Linked DNA regions of Mus musculus. The protein of the gene in region 1 interacts with the protein of each later gene in a pairwise test. Links are inferred from orthologs where the notes say so. Each region holds a gene or a part of one and is shown on either strand. Other genes may lie near its edges.

Evidence for each region.
Region 2: the proteins of Psma1 (region 1) and Mtus2 interact in binary tests that used the Homo sapiens proteins (3 or more experiments, as listed by UniProt). The two-hybrid records come from large-scale screens. The link is inferred for Mus musculus from reciprocal best matches to the Homo sapiens genes PSMA1 and MTUS2.
Region 3: the proteins of Psma1 (region 1) and Homer3 interact in binary tests that used the Homo sapiens proteins (3 or more experiments, as listed by UniProt). The two-hybrid records come from large-scale screens. The link is inferred for Mus musculus from reciprocal best matches to the Homo sapiens genes PSMA1 and HOMER3.
Region 4: the proteins of Psma1 (region 1) and Mid2 interact in binary tests that used the Homo sapiens proteins (3 or more experiments, as listed by UniProt). The two-hybrid records come from large-scale screens. The link is inferred for Mus musculus from reciprocal best matches to the Homo sapiens genes PSMA1 and MID2.
Region 5: the proteins of Psma1 (region 1) and Pnma2 interact in binary tests that used the Homo sapiens proteins (3 or more experiments, as listed by UniProt). The two-hybrid records come from large-scale screens. The link is inferred for Mus musculus from reciprocal best matches to the Homo sapiens genes PSMA1 and PNMA2.

What each region holds. Positions count from the first base shown.
Region 1 is NC_000073.6:114,273,294-114,277,313, forward strand, and holds the start of Psma1 (proteasome subunit alpha type-1), read right to left. Parts: upstream 2,824-4,020; 5' UTR 2,711-2,823; coding exon 2,708-2,710; intron 1,168-2,707; coding exon 1,123-1,167; intron 835-1,122; coding exon 733-834; intron 623-732; coding exon 519-622; intron 1-518. UniProt on the Homo sapiens protein: Component of the 20S core proteasome complex involved in the proteolytic degradation of most intracellular proteins. This complex plays numerous essential roles within the cell by associating with different regulatory particles.
Region 2 is NC_000071.6:147,955,904-147,960,148, reverse strand, and holds the start of Mtus2 (microtubule-associated tumor suppressor candidate 2 homolog), read right to left. Parts: upstream 2,830-4,245; 5' UTR 2,428-2,829; exon of another isoform or gene 2,114-2,427; intron 1-2,113. UniProt on the Homo sapiens protein: Binds microtubules. Together with MAPRE1 may target the microtubule depolymerase KIF2C to the plus-end of microtubules. May regulate the dynamics of microtubules at their growing distal tip.
Region 3 is NC_000074.6:70,281,740-70,285,827, reverse strand, and holds the start of Homer3 (homer protein homolog 3), read right to left. Parts: upstream 2,830-4,088; 5' UTR 2,817-2,829; coding exon of another isoform or gene 2,728-2,816; exon of another isoform or gene 2,304-2,727; intron 595-2,303; coding exon of another isoform or gene 527-594; coding exon 513-526; intron 435-512; coding exon 278-434; intron 1-277. UniProt on the Homo sapiens protein: Postsynaptic density scaffolding protein. Binds and cross-links cytoplasmic regions of GRM1, GRM5, ITPR1, DNM3, RYR1, RYR2, SHANK1 and SHANK3.
Region 4 is NC_000086.7:140,663,548-140,667,784, reverse strand, and holds the start of Mid2 (probable E3 ubiquitin-protein ligase MID2), read right to left. Parts: upstream 2,830-4,237; 5' UTR 2,511-2,829; coding exon 2,507-2,510; intron 1-2,506. UniProt on the Homo sapiens protein: E3 ubiquitin ligase that plays a role in microtubule stabilization. Mediates the 'Lys-48'-linked polyubiquitination of LRRK2 to drive its localization to microtubules and its proteasomal degradation in neurons.
Region 5 is NC_000080.6:66,909,900-66,914,036, reverse strand, and holds the start of Pnma2 (paraneoplastic antigen Ma2 homolog), read right to left. Parts: upstream 2,830-4,137; 5' UTR 2,744-2,829; intron 1-2,743. Other genes in the region: Dpysl2 (dihydropyrimidinase-related protein 2), read left to right, coding at 3,254-3,595.

The DNA.
Region 1 (4,020 bases):
GGTTTAGGTCATCCTTCAACAGAAGAGTGCCCAGCTCTTAGGCATGAAGGGCTTGAGACAATATACATGTCAGCAAGTATCACTTTAAGGGACTTTCAAAATCATTTTAATAGCACTATAAAAATTAAGAAATAGAAATACTTAGTTTCATACTCAAACCCACTAAGGTATTTACAATAGTACAAATTTTAATATTCTGGGGACTGGAGAGATAGATAGCTTAGCTGTTCTTCCAGAGAACCCAGTTTCAATTCCAGTATCCACATAGAACCTCACAATCTTCTGTTACCCCAATACTGGGGGAATCTAATGTCTTCTTCTGGCTTCTGAGGAAACCAGGCACACTCTAGTGCACAGACATACAGACAGGCAAAACATGCACACAAATAAAATAAACAATTAAAAATTACAATATTCTGGGAGATGACTTCCTATATCTTATTTAGGTATTTCTTTTTTTAGAAAAATAGTCTATTAAGAATCAAAATGGATGTTTCATTTTTCATCATCATACATACCATAACAGTCTGGCATCAGCAGTTAGACCCGCAATTGAGATACCAATATGGTTGTCAACATGGAGAATTTTCTTCTGGTGAGCGGCAAGCTCTGACTGTGCTCTCTAAATAGACACAATATGGTATTTTAGTTCAGAGGTTCACTGTTTATCAGTGGAATCTACATTTGATAGTTCTGTTCCTGAGGAAGAAGACAGGGTTATATTTCACTCACCTTCAGTGCAACCAGCACTGCGTGCGTTTTTGATTTTAGACCAACTGTTGCTGAACCTTGCTTAACAGCTTCCATTGCATATTCAATTTGATGAATCCTGCCCTAAAGACAAACATTTTTTTTCACGTTTTAAAACCAATAAACGAATTTTAATTCTAACTTGAAGGTCACAGCCTATAATCTCACAAGCTTTGTTTCCTTTTCTTTTAAGGAGTTCTACTAAGCTGCTCAAATTGCCCACTGACTCCATGATCCTATGGCTTCAGCCAACGGCAGACCAATGAAGATTAAGATGTGTACCACCAAGCCCAGTTTACAATCTCATAGGTCCCTGAACCTACTTCAGCCATGAAAAGTCACTTCATTGATATGGCATAAAACATTTTTTACCTGAGGGCTCCAAACAGTGACATCATTGTCATACTGGTTTCGAAACTGAAAGTGGAAGAAAGATTAAATGAGAACATTACAAAGTTCAAATTTTAACATTAAGACATGTGTTTCAATTGTTACAGCCTCTCTCCTAGTGCAGCTTTCTTGAGACATTATTACAGCACTCAGTTTGCAATGCAATTCTACCTTAACAAGGTCCCTTAACCATGCTGGAGCTGTTGGGATGAATGGACTAGGTTCTCCCTAACTCTATATCCTGCCATTCTCCACAGCACTCCCCTTGGGTAGTCAAGTGCTAAAGAATGCACACACCAACTTTCCCTCCACTTTGCTCATACTGTTCTCTACACAGGGCTCTAATAATCTGGCAAAGGCCTTTTCTGTACATTGACTCAAATGTCTATCTTTGAAGGTTTCTTCTTTTCTCCGAAAATTCTCAGCACAATATTCCAACAGAGCTTGAAGGTTTCTTCTTTTCTCTGAAAATTCTCAGCACAATATTCCAGCAGAGCTTTGAGATACAGGTTTCATGAAGCCCAGTCTGGCTTTTTCCTATATACCTGGGAAAATGATCTTGAAGTCCTGTCTCAACCTACCAAGTGCTCAGATTACAGGTGTCTGCTATCATGACCAACTATACATATTTTTTTCTTCTTTTCTTCCTTCCTTTTTTTTTTTTTTTTTTTTTTTTTTGGTGTCGGTCTCTACACTATGGATGTCCTGGAACTTTGACTTAGGCTTGCCTCAAACTCACAGAATTCTGCCTCTCTGCTTCCTAAGTGCTGGGATTAAACTCGTGTACCATAACACCTTCCAACATACCTTTTTTATCTTTATAGTATGAATAAAGTTATGTTTGGTTTAACTTTGAGCTCTCTACCTGCACCCTGTCACTGGATGAATTAACATATACACAAATCCTCAGTAAAGAGGTGGGCACAAATTGCTACCGTGGCAGACCCACTACAGCCATAATGTCATTACTAAAGCAAGTGTATCGGCTCTTAGGAGAATACTCATAATGGCAAAAAAGGCAAGAGTTCGCATGGCAGACTCCACAGAAGCAGCTCAGGGCCCTGTGCTGTAAACCTGAATCCATTACTTCCCCTTTTAGAACAAAGTGACTGTATGGAGTCTTTCCCGACGGCATTCTAATGAGACAGATTAAGACAGACCCACAAGGAAGATGAATTTGGTCTAAAGACCTGACTGCAGGCTCAGGTCTGCGCAGGCGATGCCAGGTGCACCCCTCCATTCCTATAGCCTTCCTCCTATGCAGATGACAAAGGACCATAGGGCATCTTGAAATCGGCCACCTAAGTAAATTGAGAGGGGAGGGCCTCTGGCTGGGCGAGGGAGAGCGCCTGGACCCCACGTAAGGTGGAGAAGCTGAGCGAAAGGCCGCCCAGGTTACTGATCGTTTCCCGCCGGCCAGGCCGCAGATGCTGAATCACTGTAGGAGACTGTCCGTGAGGTAAGCTCCCTCTCCCACCGCCCCACGCCCCAGGGAACAGAGGCCGATCCCCGACCACGTCAGTGTACCTCAGCCCCAAACCCTTCGAGGACTCGGGGCTCAACACACCATAGCTCCGGCGCAGCGACAACCTGACCCAGCAGCGGACACAGGAACACGGCCCCAACTACGGTTCGGTGATCGTCAAAGAAGCCTGCGGAGTCTTGACGGCGGCGACGCAGGAAGTGCAATCTATCCCAGAGCCACGGATCGGCGTCTAACGCTGCCCCGCCCTCCAGCCTTAAGTGGGCGGGGCCTGCGAAAGCTGAGAACGTGGGATTGGCAGGAAGCTCCGGGGTGGGAAAGCCAATGCGCAGAGAAAGCGGGGGGCGTGGCTTCACGTCACGCCCAGAGTTTCCTTGCTTTTTTTTTTTTTAATCCCCAAGTGGATTGCAGATTCCCGCCAACTCTCGGTCCTCTCAGTTGAACGTCGCCACCTAGCTCGGGATGGTGCGGTGGTCCCTCATAGATCTGTCACAGTGCACAGAGAGGTTTGGGAAACAGCGTGTCTGAAAGAGGCTGCAGAAAAAAAAAAAAAAAAAACAAGTGTGTGTGTGTGTGTGTGTGTGTGTGTGTGTGTTCATATTCCTGGCCTGAGATGCTTGAGTACTTGGAGAGCCCATCCTTAAAGGCTCCATGGTCTCGCATGATCGTGATACTTATGATCATTAGTTGCTATTGTAGGACCTGGTTTCTGTCCTGGCACTTGATCTTCTGCTGTCCACAACCAAATACCGTATCTGGTAGATTAGGCCACTAGGGGGAAGGTGCGAGTTTTCTTACGAGTTTTAAAAGAGTATGTTTTGGTTTAATCCCCAAATGAAATCAAGACTGCTAATTCTGTTGAATAACGTGTACCCAGAGTCAGGTAAGGATCTTTAAGGATCTGAACTTTGATGGCGGAGTAACACATCATTTAAATGTCTATGTTCACAGTAATTAGTATCACATTCTAAATATTTTCATGTCTGTATATATATGTACATTTTTTGTTTTTACATTTGTTTTGTGTGTGTGTCTGTGTCCCTGCATACCCTTTTTTGGGAGTCTGAAGACAACTTGAAGTTGGTGGTTCTCTCCTTGCGCCACGTGGATTCTGGGATTGAACTCAGGTTCACAGCTTGGCAGCTAATATAGCAATCCTCTGAACCATCATGCTTTTTGCTTTTCTTTTTCTCATCTCTCTCTGGGTTTGCACCCTCCCTCCCTCGTTTATATGCTCTCAACAGTTAATTAGATTGCTTTGTTCTTTAAATTCACCAACACTGGCTCTTGTTATTTTTAAAAATTTCTGACTTTAAATTGATAGATAGTGCTGTTTTGTTTTCGCAGCACCAGCACGGTGCCTAGCACATATTAGGTACATAATTTGTATTGCTGAA
Region 2 (4,245 bases), on another chromosome or scaffold:
CACAATAAACAGCCAGTGCTCCTCCCAGGGCCTCCCAAAGTAAGTCCAGGTGAGGGACCAGAAGGCCAAGATTCCCAGCCTCTTTGTATAGCCAGCATGGAAAGGGCTGCAGTAGTTTCAGCCAGCATTCAGGTCTCTAGAAAATTGTTAAACCTAACAGTTTTCTATTCCAGCCATCCTCCTGACACAGTTCTTATCTCCCGTTCACAAACGACCATCCCTGCTGCTCCCTCTAATTTGGCAGCAGCTATTCATTATAAAGCCGTGTGTGTGTGTGTGTGTGTGTGTGTGTGTGTGTGTGTGTGTGTCTGTGTGTCTGTGTGTGTGTGTCTGTGTGTGTGTCTGTGTGTGTGTGTCTGTGTGTGTGTGTGTGTTTGTGTGTGTGTGTGTGTGTCTGTGTGTGTGTGTGTGTGTGTGTGTGTGTCTGTGTGTCTGTGTGTCTGTGTGTGTGTGTCTGTGTGTGTGTCTGTGTGTGTGTGTCTGTGTGTGTGTGTGTTTGTGTGTGTGTGTGTGTGTCTGTGTGTGTGTGTCTGTGTGTGTGTGTGTCTGTGTGTGTGTGTGTGTTTGTGTGTGTCTGTGTGTGTGTGTGTGTGTCTGTGTGTGTGTGTGTGTGTGTCTGTGTGTGTGTGTCTGTGTGTGTGTGTGTGTTTGTGTGTGTCTGTGTGTGTGTGTGTCTGTGTGTGTGTGTGTCTGTGTGTGTGTGTGTCTGTGTGTGTGTGTGTCTGTGTGTGTGTGTGTGTGTGTGTTGTGTGCATCCCACATGAGCCTAGGTTTTTATACATTCTCCCTCACGATTTCAGCTCTGACAGCCTAGTTCCATGTCAATTATGTAATAGCCAAAGCAGGGAGTTTAACCGAGTACCAAAAGCACCGTCGTGGCTCTTACATAAGCTCCCATAAAGCCTCTGTAAGCCCGCCCCAAGCTGTGGAAATGTGGACTTATAAAAGATGCCAGCTTTCCCTCTGTCCTTAAAATTACCAAAAAGGCTTTTGTGCACCTGATTGACTGATTGCACTCCTATATAGTATATGAAAACATCCATTCAGTGAGAAAAATAATCCTTGGTGAAACAATTTTTTAAAAAAAAAATCATGCAAACAAAAAGAAGGCACTCCCTCTCCCCAAAACTACTGAACTTTCAGGGTTTCCTCTGCACAATGCACTATACCCCAACTAAGACTCCCATGGGTACCCTCTGTGGTACTAAGGACCCCCGGTACACACAGCTTTTCTTTGCAAGGAAAACAAGCAGGAAAATCACTTAGATGAAAAAGACCCGGGCTAAAATCTTTAGCTTCTCTCCAGTCAAACACAAGTTTCTCTCCCTATATGTCACACGCCTGGCTGGGGTACCTCGAACCCACCGAGCCCCACCTTATGCTGCTGGAGACTAAACGAAGCACGAAACGATGCCCACCAACAGTCACAACCCTGACTCCACATGAGCCACACACATAACAAATGCCATCACCAGAAACCAGTAAGAACAAGATGCGTATCTGATGTTTTCCACTCTCATCTTTGTACCTGAAAAATTACGGTACGTGTGAGCAGAGATCTTTAATAACTGTCAACACACGATTAGCTATGTCCACGTGACAGCAAAATACAACTACCTAACAACTTAAAAGCCAAAACGGCTATGTGACAGGGATCTATTTCTTTAAGTCACTTCCCACCTATTTATTGTCAGAGACGTCCCACTGGTTTTCATAACAGACTTAAAAAAAAAAAAAAAGCCTGTTTTGTGTCTTAACGCTTGAGAGTCTACGGTATGAATTTTTCTTTTGAAAGGACCTCCTGTCGCCTTTAAATGATACCAAAACCATCTCATGCTTATCCTGAAGGAAAGTTTTGAGCTAAGACAGAAATTATGGCTCTGACTTCCTGCGCTCTTACGTTCTCTGGTAACCGCTCCTAACTTTACCAACCAGCAAATATTCCTGTGAAGCACTTACATAACAAAAGAGTGCAGGCGCCTCTGGCACGCCGCCAAGCGTACTTCTCTGGGTGTTTGTATTTAAAATAGAACGGTAGTAACATCACTTGCAAGCCTTTCCCTGCACAGACTCAGAATGAAGGGGGTTGAAAAATGGATGGAGCAAGCCTTACCATTCTAGGGCTCCAAGGAAATAACACATCGGTGCTAAATTAAGACGAAGACACGGACCGAATTATCCCGAGCTGGGGGTGGAGAGGGGTGGGAGCTCGCTTAGGCTAACCCGCTGTCGCCTCTGAAACACCGTGCTCAACCTGACATCCCCGGAAGGTGCGAGTGGGTTGCAGCCTCTCTCCGGCGGAGCAGAAGATGTGGGCAGCGGGGAGCGGGCTCTCTGATGCCAGAGAAGCCAGCAAAAGGCACCGCCTCCGCCCCGCTCTGCACCTGTCTCCAGCCGGATCGGGACGCGCGGACAGCAGTCGCTCACCTGGGTCTGGAGGAGCCAAGAAGGATGTGCAGAGAGACCAGAGCAGCCTCCGGGAGCATCCCGGGCCGGGCTACCTCCGCACGCAGCTCCTTCGCAGCTGGAGTTTGCAACGCGCCCACGCGTCCAGACTCCTGACCCACCCGGGTCTTCTGCAACTTGACAGAGCGCGGGCTGAGGTGGCGCAGGTGGCGAGCTTAGGGCACCGGGGTACCTGGGGCCGTGGCCGCAGCCAGCCCTCCGCCCGCGCACTTCACCACTGGGCACCGCCCAAGCCGCCGGGCTCTGATCACAGGGATGGCCCGGGCTGAGGACGCCTCGCCGGACAAAGACGCCGCTCCCGCCCACCCTCCAGTGAGGTGCCGTCCGCGGTGACAGAAGCCGGGCTGCAGCGGCCCGAGGCGCGCACCCCCTCCCGGCCGCCCGGAGATGCTCGCGAGCCCCGGCGCCTCCTCTCGTCCGGAGCCCCGTGGGGGGAGCCGAGCGCCCTCTGCTGGCCCGACACGACCCGGCAGCTCACGGGACCACAGTGGTCCGGAGCATCCAGCCTCAGACCCCAGAGAAAGGAGAAGCAGCCTGAGGTCGCTGACCTAGACTCCTGACTCCCACGAGTGGGATGTGCTGTGGTCCAATCGGAAGAGAGAGCCTCTTTTAATTGCGTGCAGCAGGAAGAATTGGGGTCCAGCGGGTGAACTCGCAAGGGATGTAGCGGGGCTGATGGACAGGAGACTAAAGAAGTCTCTGTAAGGGTTTTGTGTGTGATTGTGTGCGGGTTTGGCGGGGGTGGGGGTGGGGGAGTTGGGGTGTTTGAGGCAGGATCTCACTTGAGACTCACAGATATCCTCTTGCCTCTGCCTCCAAATCTAGGGGTAATGCATAGCCGGCTACCCACTTGAAAGACTCTTGTCTCAACGCAAGCTTGTCTGCTTCGTAGTTCACAACGTTCCTCAGAAGTAAACATGAACGCAGGACTTCTCAGTAGCCCTTCCAGGTCGCCTGAAAGCAGCGCACCTGGGAAGCCTGAAGACAGCCGGGGGGCTTCTCCAGCCTCTGGCTCACAAGATTTGGGACAGACTGACAGAGAAGACAATGAGATGCTGGCTTACTGATGTGCTTGCTCGCTTTCTCTTGGGGGTCGGGAGTGTGGGGAAAATGGGCTCCCTCCCCCACCCCAGCATTGCTGTGCCGAGCAACATTTTATACCAGCTGAATTTTTGTACTAACTGGTCTATATTGTGAAGGGAAATCATGAAAGAGCACTTTTCACACGGCTGTCTTTTTACATTATTCTATGTGGCCTCCCATTTCTTCTGGAGGAATCTAGGGCACGTTTTATCGCTTTTCCTGTCACCTTCGGGTGTTAACAAGCGGTCTGACTGGCTGTTATTACAAAGTCCAGTCCAATCTAAATCAAACTTTAAGCTCATTTCATTTAAGCCTTCGCCCCTCCCTTCCCCTAACTCACAAACCCCAGCCTGACTTAAACCTAGAAAGATAGTAAAGCCTCCTTTGTGCCATTCACTTTCCTATTTGGGTGCTCTGTGAAGCCCATGCCTCCCAGGTGCAAGGAATGAGGTCCTGGCGCTACAGCTCCTTCCTCGGGCCACTCCCACTCCTCCAGGGACTCATCCCACCCCCACCCCCATCCCACAGGCAGACCTGACCATCTTCCACCACATCGGCTGACAGTGTTCATTAAACTCTCTACAGAAGCTCTGGTTAGCTTCTTCCTTGAGCCTCACACTCCAGATGACAGGCACCAGCTTCTTCAACACATTTCTTCTCAGGCACACAGTGAGTGAGCCCTTCCTCCTCGCCCCG
Region 3 (4,088 bases), on another chromosome or scaffold:
CACTGGAGTTAAAAATTAAAAAAGGAACTCTAGGCATCTGTCTTAGTAGCTAATCCCTACCTAGGATCCCCCAGTGAGGAGCTATCGGAAGGCATACAGGTGGAGCCCCTGCCTAGAATCCCCCAGTGAAGGGCTGCAGTAGAACTCTTGTCCCTTCTCGGAGACCCCACCACTGAGTTATTTCTGGAAGACGTTAGGTCTGGGAAAGGATCGTTGATTCCCAAGTCACCCAGCCTGGCTGGTGGCTGCACACCTGCCCCCAAACCCCTGCTCAGACCTTGGCACCCCCGATGCTGATGATGCGGTACACATTTCGGGTTGCATCATAGAAATAGGACACGGTAAGTGCGTGCTTGCCGGCGGGGATCCAGTTCCGCTTTGTAGTGGGGTCGATCTGGAATACGTGCGCCCGGGTGCTGAAGATTGGCTGTTCCCTACAGCAGGGACAGAAACTCTGCAGGAGTCTGATGCCACCCAGGGGCAAGGCCAGACCAGAGTGGGTGAGTGCTCACCTGGCTGTGGACATTGGTCAGGTTGGGCTGGATGGCCTCTAAGGGGCACCCAGAGGGGTGACAGGAGTCACTTGTTTGTCCCCTAGGGAAAGAAGAAGATTGTGAGTAAGGCTCCAAGGATACTCAGGCCAAGTGGGTCCTCCAGGTGACTTCACAAAACCAGCGAGGCAGGAAAGGAGCAGCTGCTGGTCAGACACCCACTTCCTCAGTCCCAGCCCAGACTGGCCTTGAAATCACTTTGCAGCCAACAGCAACCTTGAACTCTTGATCCTCTGGCCTCCACCTCCTAAATGCTGGGACGGCAGCTTGTGCCATCATTCTTGGTTCATGTGGTGCTGAGGATGGAGCCCAGAGCATCCTGCATCCCATGCAAGCTCTCTATCAACTGAGCTGTAGGCATAAACAAAAGGCCCTGCTTTTGGGAGAAGCCCCCACAACTGGACTGAGTGATCTCTAGATCTCTAGTGTCACCAGAGAGGTGATACAGTGCCACCAAACTGCAAGGGTAGGTAGGATATGGCTTGGAGAATAGCCTGGTTGTTGGCACGCAGGATTATACTCACTGTCCAGGTTACCCACCACTGGGCAAGTGTCCTCCCACAGGAACTGAACATGAGGTCAAGATCAACCGAGTGGAACATCTCATTCATCCCCTCCCATCCAACAGCCCCCCTCTCCTCCCAGAGGGCCTTGCATCAAAATGTGGGACAAAGCTGGATCCGTGGTGAGGCCCTGTGGTTTTATCTATCTGAAAGCCAAGGCGGTTAGATCATGCATCCCAGGAGTTCAAGGCCTCCCTGGTCATCATGGAGGGATAAACCCATCTCAAGGAGTAAAAGTGGAGTGCTTCCAGGGACCTAACAGGAAAATCAGGACCTCGCTGATCCCACAAATGGACCACTTCGGGGCTGAAGAGATGGTTCAGTGGGTAAGAGCACTGACTGCTCTTCCAGAGGTCCTGAGTTCAATTCCCAGCAACCACATAGTGGCTCATAGCCATCTGTAATGGGATTGGATGCCCTGTTCTGATGTGTCTGAAGACAGCTACAGTGTACTTGTATAAATAAAATAAATAACTCTAGGAAGGAAGGGAGGGAGGGAGGGAGGGAGGGAGGGAGAGAGAGAGAGAGGAGAGAGAGAGAGAGAGAGAGAGAGAGAGAGAGAGAGAGAGAGAGAGAGAGAGAGAGAGAGAGAGAGAGAGAGAGAGAGAGAGAGAGGAGAGAGAGAGAAAGGACCACTTAGCCCAGATAACTCTGTGTCTGAGTCTCCAGGGAGCTTACTTAAAAGGAAAAAATGAAAGCCTGGTATGGTGGCACCAGCACTGGGGAGAATGAGGAGACTTTGAAGCCAACCTGGGCTACAGAGTGGGACCATGTCTCAACGCACAGGCACACACACACACACAAGCACGCATTGCACACAGCGGTTCATCCTAGTCCCCACCATGTGAACAGGGAACAGGACCGGGAGAACGGAGCTCCCCAGCCTCCTATGAACGCTTGCACCTGTCATTCTCCTAAGTCCCCCAAATTTCAACTAAGGAGATTGGAGGAGAAGGAGGGTCCTGCGGGTGCGGGAGGTCAAGACCCGGGGTCTGAGGTCAGGGCCCCTCCAAGCTGTCTTGGGAAGCTGCGAAACCTAAGTTCCCATACAGAGGGAGGGTAGGGGGGTTGTCCAGTCAGAGACGCTAATGGAACTGGCGGAGATTGGGGGAAAGGGGTCCCCGAACCCAGGCCCTTCCGGTCGGACCACTCCTGCCTGGACTTGCCACCATCAGGAAAAGTTACTCACTGAGTAGTCACGCGCCTTGGAGCAGAGGCGCGGGGCGGAGAACCGCGATCGCGCGCGGCGGGGACCCTGCCAGGAGCCCCACGCCGGCTTCCCATTTGGCACCGGTTCCCACTCCCTCCAGGGCAGCTCGTGAGGGCAACTACGGGAGCCGCTGACCCGCAACTTCTAAGTGGCGGAGCCTCGCGATGCGGCGTCCCCAACACCCGGACCTCGGCTGAGGAACCCGGTGAAGACGCGCCCCGCGCCCCAGCCAGCACCTGAGCCGGCCCCCTAGCCGGCACCCCAGGATCCCAACCCCTCAGCCTGCACCCCGCAGCTCCTGGGCCCCGCCTCACAGTCCGCAACTTTGGAAACCGTCTGCGTTTCCTGCGCCCCCGACTCCCTGATTGTGCCTCGGAAGCTGGGGTCCCCCTGTCTGGCTCACCCCGCGTCGTCGTCGCTGCAGCCTCCGGCCCGCGCCCTCCGCGCGCCCCGCGCCGCCCGCGCCTTTGTCTGCGCCGCCTCCGGTCCCATCGCGGCCAGTCCCCGCGCCGCCCCGCCTCTGCCCAGCGCCCCCTGCTGGCCAGCTACGGAGGGCGGGGAAGAGGGAGGGGACCCCGAGAGGGAAGAAGAGGAGGGCGGACATGGAGGGGGGAGTTGGGCGGGGTGAAAGGGCAGAGGAAGGGGAGGGCACCAGGAGGTCAAGAGGAGGAACTTCTGAAGGGGGGACCCAGTGGGAGGCAACTGAAGGAAGTGGGGAGGGCGTGGCTTTTGAAGGAGGGGGAGGGGCCCATAAAGTCTGGGGCTGGGATCAGAGGGATTAAGGGCAGGGGCCTAGGATCAGGCAGAGTACTGGACAGAGGGGAGGGATCCAGGAGGGCAGCGGAGAGAGACAGAAGGTGACTGCGGACAAAGACAGCGGGGTGGGGAGAGGGGTGGAAGAGGAGGGTCTGTCTGGATCGGCCTTGGGGCAGAGCATTGGACTGATGGGCTGAAGGCTGAGAAGACAAAAGTGTGGGTGTTAGATGGGTGGTAGCGGGCCAGGGTGTGAAGACAGAGGCAGAAGTCCTGGAGTGTGATCTGGTGACCCAGAGATAGGGAGAAACACGGAAAATGGGTGGACAACGACCCTTCGCTTTCCTGCCTCCTACCAAGGGTGGCCCTGAGTCTTCATGTGGCTTCTTCGAAAAGAAAAAGTTCCTGGACCCTCAGCAACTGAAGCATGAAGACAGCTTGAGCCCAGCTCCCCAAAACGAAGGTGGGGGTGGGACTGCAAATCAGTGTGTAACGCCCTCGTCAAGCGTCTGTGGTGCCCTGGGCTCCATCCTAATTCCCACGAAAAGAACAAGCAGGCAAATCTCTGTGAATTCTAGGCTAGATTGGTCTATATAGTGAGTTCTAAGCCATCTAGGGCCACATAGTGAGACCCTGACTTTCAAAAATAAATTCTGGGAGTAACTAGGTTATTGTTACAGAGTCTTAGGATCCAAGTGTCCTCTTAGTGTTGTCTTCCAATGAAATGGACAAACTCCCTGCAGCTCTGTAGGCTGAGTCCTGCCTCTGTCCACAGCCACAGCAGCCCGCCGAGGATCCTTCAGGGGATCACCTATCTGCCAGTGGGTCCCTAGCCCTGTGGCAAATCCCTTGCTGCACTTTTCTAGAAATTTCTGCAAGGGTTTCCGTGTTCTGGGGACAAATGGCTGTGTCCGAATCAGAGTCTGTGGTTCTCAGCTTTGCATTTCTTATGTCAGATATATATTTTTTTCTCTTCTCAAGCCCTCTGGTGTCTGCTGGGATCTGAGCAGG
Region 4 (4,237 bases), on another chromosome or scaffold:
TGGCACTATTTTAAGACCTGCAGGTTGGAGCAAGTTGCCCTGTTTTTAGAGGAGGGATTAACCAAACCAATTTTATCTAAGTCAATTTGCGCTGTTCAGATGATATGTTTGTGAAGCAACCAAGCCACTCATTTGCAGCAAGTGCCTCTCAGAAGTGGTCTTGCAAGGTACAACATGCTAAGCAGGAATCCCAGTAGTCATGAAAGTAAATAGGAGAGACAGCTCTTCATGTGCCATAACCCTCTCTCCCTACTCCACACATCACCCACCCTGACTGCATCCTAGCCATGGAGCCATGGAACTGTAAGTAGAGTTTAGCATAGGGCAAATATGAGCCCAAAATACTGGGTCAAGGGCAGGTCCTCACTCAACACAGACAGCAGAGGCTTCTGTACATTAAAGGTGCTTTGAAAAATATTGACTCACTGCTGCTAGGTGCTAATTTTGCTTATATAGCCAGACCTAAATGTATCTATATTACTTTTATTGGTCATTAACTAACTCCCCCCATGTAGACTAAAAAAATGGGTGAGGTTGAATATTCAAATGAGTCTGACTCACATTGTTAGGGTAAAGTGTAATCAATATGATTTATGACTCGACTTAAAATCATCACCATTACTTTCTATGCCTAATTGTATATATGTTTCCATTCAGTTGCATATACATTCATGAAACAAATTGACTTAAGATCTAAATTACAATGATAATTTGAATCTCAAGGGAACTAATAATGGCAAATTAGGGTTCCTGTAAATTAGTGTTCCCATTTATACCCAGTCAATCCAGTAACCCAATAAAGGATAAATGAAGTGCTTTCATTGAAGAGTATAATGCTGAGGTTTATAGAATCCTTTTATCTTCAAAGGACCAAGCCAATACTCACAATACCCAGTACACAATATTATGCCTTTTATGCAAGTGAAGCAACTGTGAAAGAGAGGTCATACAAATGTCTAAAGGCCTTAAAGCCAATGCAACGTCACATCTGGAATGAACTCTCTGATCTTCTTGGCTTCCAGGCTTGTGTTTCAACCACATGAAACGAGTTTTGTAAGGAACAATCACGAGAAATCTAATTCATATTATGAGTCTGTGTTAAGCTAATTGATTGAGCAGGAATATATAAAAATAGCAAAGATTGATTCTCCCTTGGGGCAGTGATGAGCAGAGAGGAGGAGGTTAAAAAAAGGTGGGGATGCTGGGATAGGAATCTAGGGTACAGCAAAAGCTCCCCAAGCAGAAGTGAGCAAGAATGTAAACTCTCCATTTAGCAACTCCATCTTCTATTGGAATAGTGTCAGAGATCTGATTCGATTTCAGAGAGGAAATGGAATGGGATTAAAGTCAACTCTTGTGGTCCAATTCGAGAATCAGATTAATTAATCCCCACACAATAGTTGTGTACTATTACAGTTTCCAATGTCTTGCTTCATAAATACTCCTCCTTAGAGACAGACACACAACTAATGCCATTCAGCAGCCCCACCCTCCAAAATCTTCAAAAAAAATCAAAGTGATTGAAAAGCAAGAAGCCGCATTGCACAGGTTGACAGAGAAAAGCTGAGAGTGCAGGAACTCTGGTGGGAGATGTGGGGGCTTGAATAGAGACAGTACCTAAGGAGTGTGGAAGAGTGGGGAAAGTGAAGAGTCCAACAATCCCTGGATCCTAATTTCCTCCTCTAAATCGAAATGCCTCCTAAATAAATAAATACTATGCTGCACGTGAAGTGCGAAACAACCCAAGCCAGCTCATAACCAGTAATGTTCCAGTAATTTTTATGAGCCCGGAATGGAAAAGGCTCCCCTGTCCCTGCTTCAGTCGCAGTGTGTCCTATGGACACACTCAAGTTTTTCCCTCTCCACCCCCCCCCCCCCCACGGGGCTGCTTTCACAGCTAGGCCAGAAATAAAGAACCACCCAGACAGAGACCTGAAGATCGTTTCCCCAGCAGGGAGGAAAAGGGGAGGGAGAATTAAGTTTCTCCCGGGGTTCCCGCTCGCAGGGTGTCCACAGAATCTCAGGCTGCTGCGCCAGCACCACTGAGCCAACCGCCGACCTCGGGGCGCCGCCCGGGCCGAGGACGCCGTGGATTTCGGGAGCGTGGGAAGGCGGCTGCGCCCTTTCCCAGACTTGCGCCTAGGCGCCACGAGAGCTGAGCCGCTCCACTGCTTTCTCCCTGCTCGGCCTGGCCAAGCGGGAGGCCTCGGGCCGGTCCCCAGCCTGGGATCTAGGAGTGCAAACTCCTTCCCAGGAGGGCAGCGGCAGGAGCTCGGGTCACAACAGTGTGACAGACAACCGGGGCCCTGCCATTGCCGCCAGGACCCCGTCTCCCCCCTCTTGCCGCCCCCCCCCCCAAGCCCAAGTGTCCTCGGCCAGTTCCAGCCCCGGCGGCACCTGAAGAGCAGCAGGAGCCAGCCAGGGCCAAGCCCGGCGCGGGCGGCGACACTAGCCACCCCACCACCACCACCATCCCCCCGGGCCTCGGCGAGGGGACGCGTTTTACCCATATTGTTCCCGGGTGCCAGCCATCTCCTACGCGCGCCGGGGAGCGCCGGGCGCTCGCCGGCCTCCGCAGCAAGCTGGCTCGGGCTCCCGTGCAAGCTCCCGGGCCGCTGTCGCTGCTGCCGCCGCCGCCGCCGCCACCACCACTCTAGGCCGCCGCCCGCCTTCGCCGCTGCGGCCGCCGCCGCCGCCGCGCAACAGCCGGGATCCGCCAGCCCGCGCGCCCCACGGGGGACAGCACGGAGACCGCGACGTTCCCGCGTCTAGGTCTCCCGGGCTAAACTTAAAGAGTTTTCGCCTCTCGGTCCAGAGGCAGCACCATGACACCACCGCAGCACCACACTGTCATTTCCGCCGCAGCAGAGGGAAAAAAAAGGCAATCCCTTCGAAAGGAGGGTGGAGTGGGGGCAAGCAGAGCCGAGGCTGACACCCTACGGGAGCACGGGGAGGGGCCGGGCAGAAGGGGCGCTGGGCCACCTTCCTAGGCTCACCTTCCGCCGCCCCCGCCACTCCCAACTCCCCGTGCCCCTCCTCTGGAGGCGCGCTTACATGTTTTCTCCCCTGGCAGGAGTGACCAGAGAAACCCGAGCAAGCAAAGGCAGTGGGTGGGTGGGGTTCAGATTACTACTGTACCTACCAGCTGATTCCAGCAGCCTTTTCTCCAGCACCCTGTCATCTTGATGGAAGACACAGGGAGAAGGGGCCTGAGCAGGCGCGCACGAGCGTGTGTGTGTGTGTGTGTGTGTGTGTGTGTGTGTGTGTGTGTGTGTTTGCGCGTCCACGACCGGGTGGTGTGTGTGAAGCGCAGAAGGAAGACTGTGGCCAAACTCTTCACCCACCTACCTCCCTTCTACATCCACAAACCCCCAGATGAGAGCAAGGAGAAGGCTGTTGCACTCGCCAATGAAAAGAGTGTGCCTGGATCCTCCTCACAGGTCCTACTGGTGAAGCTGTTGTATGCAAAGTTAACTAGAGAGTAAAACAAAAATAGTGGAGGAGACAGAGAAGGGCAGACAATTGAAGGAAACCCAACCCCTTTTTCTTTTGACAAAGGGAGAATGGCAATGTTCTATTGGACTTGGGCACAAGTTGTTCAGGTGGATTAAAGCCACTAAAAGTGTATGGGGTAAGGTTTCTTTTGCACCTTCAGATCCTTGACCAATACAAAAGGGTCACTGCCAAGAGGACAATGAGGCAGATGCTAGCCATCCAGAATACAATGTCCCTAATAAGATCCATTTGGAAGCCAGGAGCCTCCCATTGGTCTGGATACAGCCTGTCTTTTAACCTATCACTGGCTCAAAGACTACCACCTCCCCCCAACACACACACACACACACACACACACACACACACACACACACTTAAAAGGTAGATGAGAGAAGGAAGCCACCTCAGAGGATATTCTTTCTAGCTCCACTCAAAATGAGGAAGGAATAAAGCAATCCGAAACAGCCCCTCTCACATGGGCCTCCCATTACTGTGCTTGGGAACAAATCCAGAAAAAAAAATGAAGGTAGATGGGTGTGTCTTATCAGGGAACCAATAGCAGTCAGCCAACAGCACTGTTAAACAAACCTGCTAGAGAACACTGGAGTGGAAATGAAGGGAAAAACCCAACCACATTACCTAAAAGGAAGTACAGCACCAAGAGATGTAAAAGTTAATGTGTCATATCCAAAGCACAGACAACAAGAGCAAAACCAAACAAATGAGACTACATAGCACCAAC
Region 5 (4,137 bases), on another chromosome or scaffold:
CATTCTTATAGGGCACATGTGTTATGTCAACTGAAATGTTGTAATTTGGTGCCTGACTGTGCCTCTCAGAGACTTGTAGAGGGTGTGTTAGGGTGCTATATCCACTTCCTCCTTGGTTTGAACATCTCCCATCACTCTGAAGGAGGTTGTATGCCACAGATGCTGGTCTTAACTATGGCAGCAGCAGGAGCAGATCCGGTCTTCCTGGAAGGTGTTGAAGGCTGTTCCACTGTGTCAGAACCAGGAGAGCAAGATGCTGTCTCACCCTGTGCTTGGCAGCATGGGAGCCCGGAACTTCAGACCAATCTAGGCCTGAGATTCCCTTGTAAAATATGGGAGTGAACTTCCTCTGCTTGGAGTTGTTTCGAGGAATGAGATGTGAAGAGCTCTGGAGGGGCTAGGACTGTAGCCTAGTTGGCAGAGTGCTGTCACTATGTACAAAGCCTTGAGTTAGATCCCAAGCACTGCATAAGCCAGGCGCCGTGGCACATACCCATTACCCCAGCACTTAAGTGGTGAAGGTAAGTGAGCCAGGAGTTTAACTCCCTTGGCTACATCGGGAGTTTGAGGTCAGCCTGGGCTTACAAACAGGACCTTGTCTCAGAAAGAGCAAAAACAAACACAAGCGACATGCTGGGTAGTGGTGGCGCATGCCTGTAATCCTAGCACTTGGGAAGCAGAGGCAGGCAGAACTCTGAGTTCCAGGCCAGCCTGGTCTACAGAGTATGTTCTAGGACAGCCAGAGCTGTCACACGGAGAAACCCTCTCTTGAAAAACCGAAACAAACAGAAAACGAACGAACAAACAAAAAAGACAAATACAAACAAATGAACAAAAAACACCAAATGTCCAGATTCACAGAAAAATTGTCATGCTGAAATCTGCTAGCCTTTGAGACCTTTAACCCAATGGTAACCATACCTACAAGGGTTGCTCTTCAATTAACTAAGGCCTCACACATCTGGAGGGATTGCTTAGTGGTGAAATGCACAGGTTTGGTTACTAGCACCCACAAGTTGGCTTACTCTGTAACTTCAATTCCAGGGGAATCTGGCACTTTTGTCTGGCCGCCAATGGCCCCAGGCCTGTACACAGTGCATGTACAAACATTCAAGCAAAACATCCATATACATAAATGAAGGTTAACCAAAAAAGATTTTAAGACTGTAAATGAAACACCCTTGATGTACAAAAGAACCACCAGGGAAATGCTTGGGTATGGAAGAATGCAAGGATTTTGTACTTTTCTCACTAAAGAGGCCTATAGGATAACCTGTTGAAGGAACCAGGCTCTTGGGGCAAAGGCCTGGACAACTAGACACATGACTTTAGGCGTAATGACTCATAAACTGGTGTCCTAACTTGGAAGGCAGGGAGGATGAAAGACCTCAGGGCTTTAGTGTGGCATTGACAATTCCAATGGACACTTTATAAGAAAATTCCAAGCATTTCTGGTGCTAAGGTCCATAGGCCCTCCTTTCGGCTCCTACAGGATTGTGTGTGTGTGCGCACAAATTATGACTCCATCAATCAAGCTATCTCGGGCAACTGGGGGCGTTGATATCTGCAAGCAATCGTTACCTAAGCAAAGGCTGACAATGGGACTGATTTCTTGGTCACAACGCCCTGTGAGAACACGCTGCAGTAAACTGCCTCTCCTAGACCAAACCCATCCATCTTAGTGAGCATGCTCAGATCTCGCTCCAGAACCCCTAAAGGATGGGCAACACTTTTGCAGCTTTCAGCCACTCTGGAAAAACAGGAGGGGCTTAAATGCAACCAAGCCAGGACCAGGAGGTGGGACTAAGCAAGGAAAAGCCTCGAACCTGGCGGTCGTGGCTGAACCGTGTGCACGCGCGCACACACTCCAAATCCCCACACTTTGGCTGCCCACAACTCACACAGCATGTAACCCTCCCCTGAACAGCAATCTACCTCTACCCTCCATGCAAACCGCTGCGGCCCTAGAGAAGGAACATCTGGCAAACTCCCGGGCCTCCTGCGCAGCGTGCAACAGGGGCGGGGAAGCTAGGCGGGGCGACTTGAAAGCAAGATGAGTGTGCTTCAGTCTGCTTAGTCCCCAACCATTTTCCGTTTTGGGTGTGTGTGTGTGTGTGTGTGTGTGTGTGTGTGTGTGTGTGTGTGTGTTTTGAGGGATTGGAGATATCAAATCCAGGACTCTTCTGAGCCTTTTCTGAGGCAATGGCTGATGTGCAGGGCATGGCCTTTTCAGATGATGTTACGGGTCCCCAGTTTCTATGCTGAAGCGCAATCCTCAGTCTGCATTCTTTACTATGCCCCCCCCCCCCCCCCCCGCACCGCAGGCTTGCTGCTTTCTCCCCCGGTCACCGCTTGCATTTGCTATGCTCCTCTGCTTTTTCGCCCCCGCCATGTTGTGAGCCCCACCTCCCAACCACAGGGGCTGCAAGCAGGGAGAACATTCTCCTTTCCTTCTGCTCCTTGCAGTGCGCGCCCTGGCGCCCAGGTCGTGGGTAAACTGAAGCATTGGTGCCGGATACTTGGTTATCCCGGAGTAGACTTTGCTGTTTCCAGGGTCACCCCTGCCCAGTTTCCAAGAGCCTTCAGGCTTGAACCTTGGCTCCCTCAACCCTCAGCTCTCACCCGAGGCCAGGGGAGCCCCAGGGCCACCTTAGCAATGCAGTGAGGCAGGTCGGGGAGAGGGGCTCTGGACTAGGGTCTGAGCCTTCGGGTCCTTGCCCGGCTATAGCTATCCGACACTCACCCTGGCGCCGAGAGAGGTCTGTCGGGCGGCTGCCGCGCGTCCATTAGCGGGTGGAGTGTCCGCTTTACTTCCGGGGCGCAGGCTCCGGGCGCCCCCCACCCCCTCGTACCCTCCCTTCTCCGTCTCCTCCTTCTGGGTCCTCTCCCTCCTTGTCCCCTCCCTCCTGATCCTGCGTTCCTCCTGCCCCGCCCCACTCCGCCCCGCCCCGCGTTGCCGGGAACTGGCATCCTCTGCCGCAGCGACCGCCCGCTCAGATCCAACTTTGCTCGGAGGTGGCGTGGCGGCGCCGGGGGGCGTGGGCAGGGAGGGAGAAAGCGGGGTCAGGAGGAGGGACCGCGAGGGGTGGGTCGCCGGTTCGCCAGCTCTCCATCCTTTCTGTGCACCTTGCGGTAGGCAGGGAGAGGCAGCCGCGGCGGCAGCAAGAGGCTAGTGCACACCCAGCTAGGGAGACTTAGGAAACCACGGACGGACGGACGAACAGACAGGACCTTCCCCAGCGCCCCCTGAGCCATGGCCGAGAGAAAGCAATCTGGAAAGGCAGCAGAGGACGAAGAGGTCCCTGCCTTTTTTAAAAACCTGGGCTCCGGCAGTCCCAAGCCGCGGCAGAAATTCTGCGGCATGTTCTGCCCTGTGGAAGGGTCCTCGGAGAACAAGACCATCGACTTCGACTCGCTTTCAGTGGGCCGGGGCTCGGGGCAAGTGGTGGCTCAGCAGCGCGATGTCGCCCACTTGGGCCCCGACCCGCACCGGCAGAGCCGGCGTGCCAGTGGGGAGCCATCTGTTGAATCGAGCCGGAAGGTGGAGATCCGGCGGGCCTCGGGCAAGGAAGCCCTGCAGAACATCTATGATCAGGTTGGTATGGGGGTGGAGGGTGGGATCGGAGCGCGGGGCTGCCCCCTGGCTTGTCGCGGAGGACCGAGCATCCCCGCGTGGCAGCCAGCACCAGCCAGCACGCGGCACCAAGAGCTCTGCCTCCCGCATCTGCACGCGCACCGCGCCCTGCCCACCCCTTCACCGCGCAGGGTGCGGCGAGGCACGGGTTCGCCAGTGGGCGTTTGAGCTCCCACAAAGGCTGCCCTAGCCTCCTTGTCCCTGGGAGGTGGGGAACCCGCGTCAGGGACCAGCTGATCCCCGGGCTGGAGGCGTCGAGTGGCGATTGGGGTGGACCACTGTGCTGTTCTTAAATCCTCCCGGGCGGCATCCGATTGCAGCTGCGGCTCAGAGCCCCACCCTTTTTTGATGCAGCTCAAAGAGAGCAGTGGAAGGCTGCAGTGAAGACTAGAGGATTCCCTTGGGGTCTGTAGGGACAAGGGCTTACATGGCTACTCAGTGTGGCAAGGTCCCCGCCTCTAGTGCGCTCAGCACCATGGTTCTGAGCTAGGAGGTCAGGACCA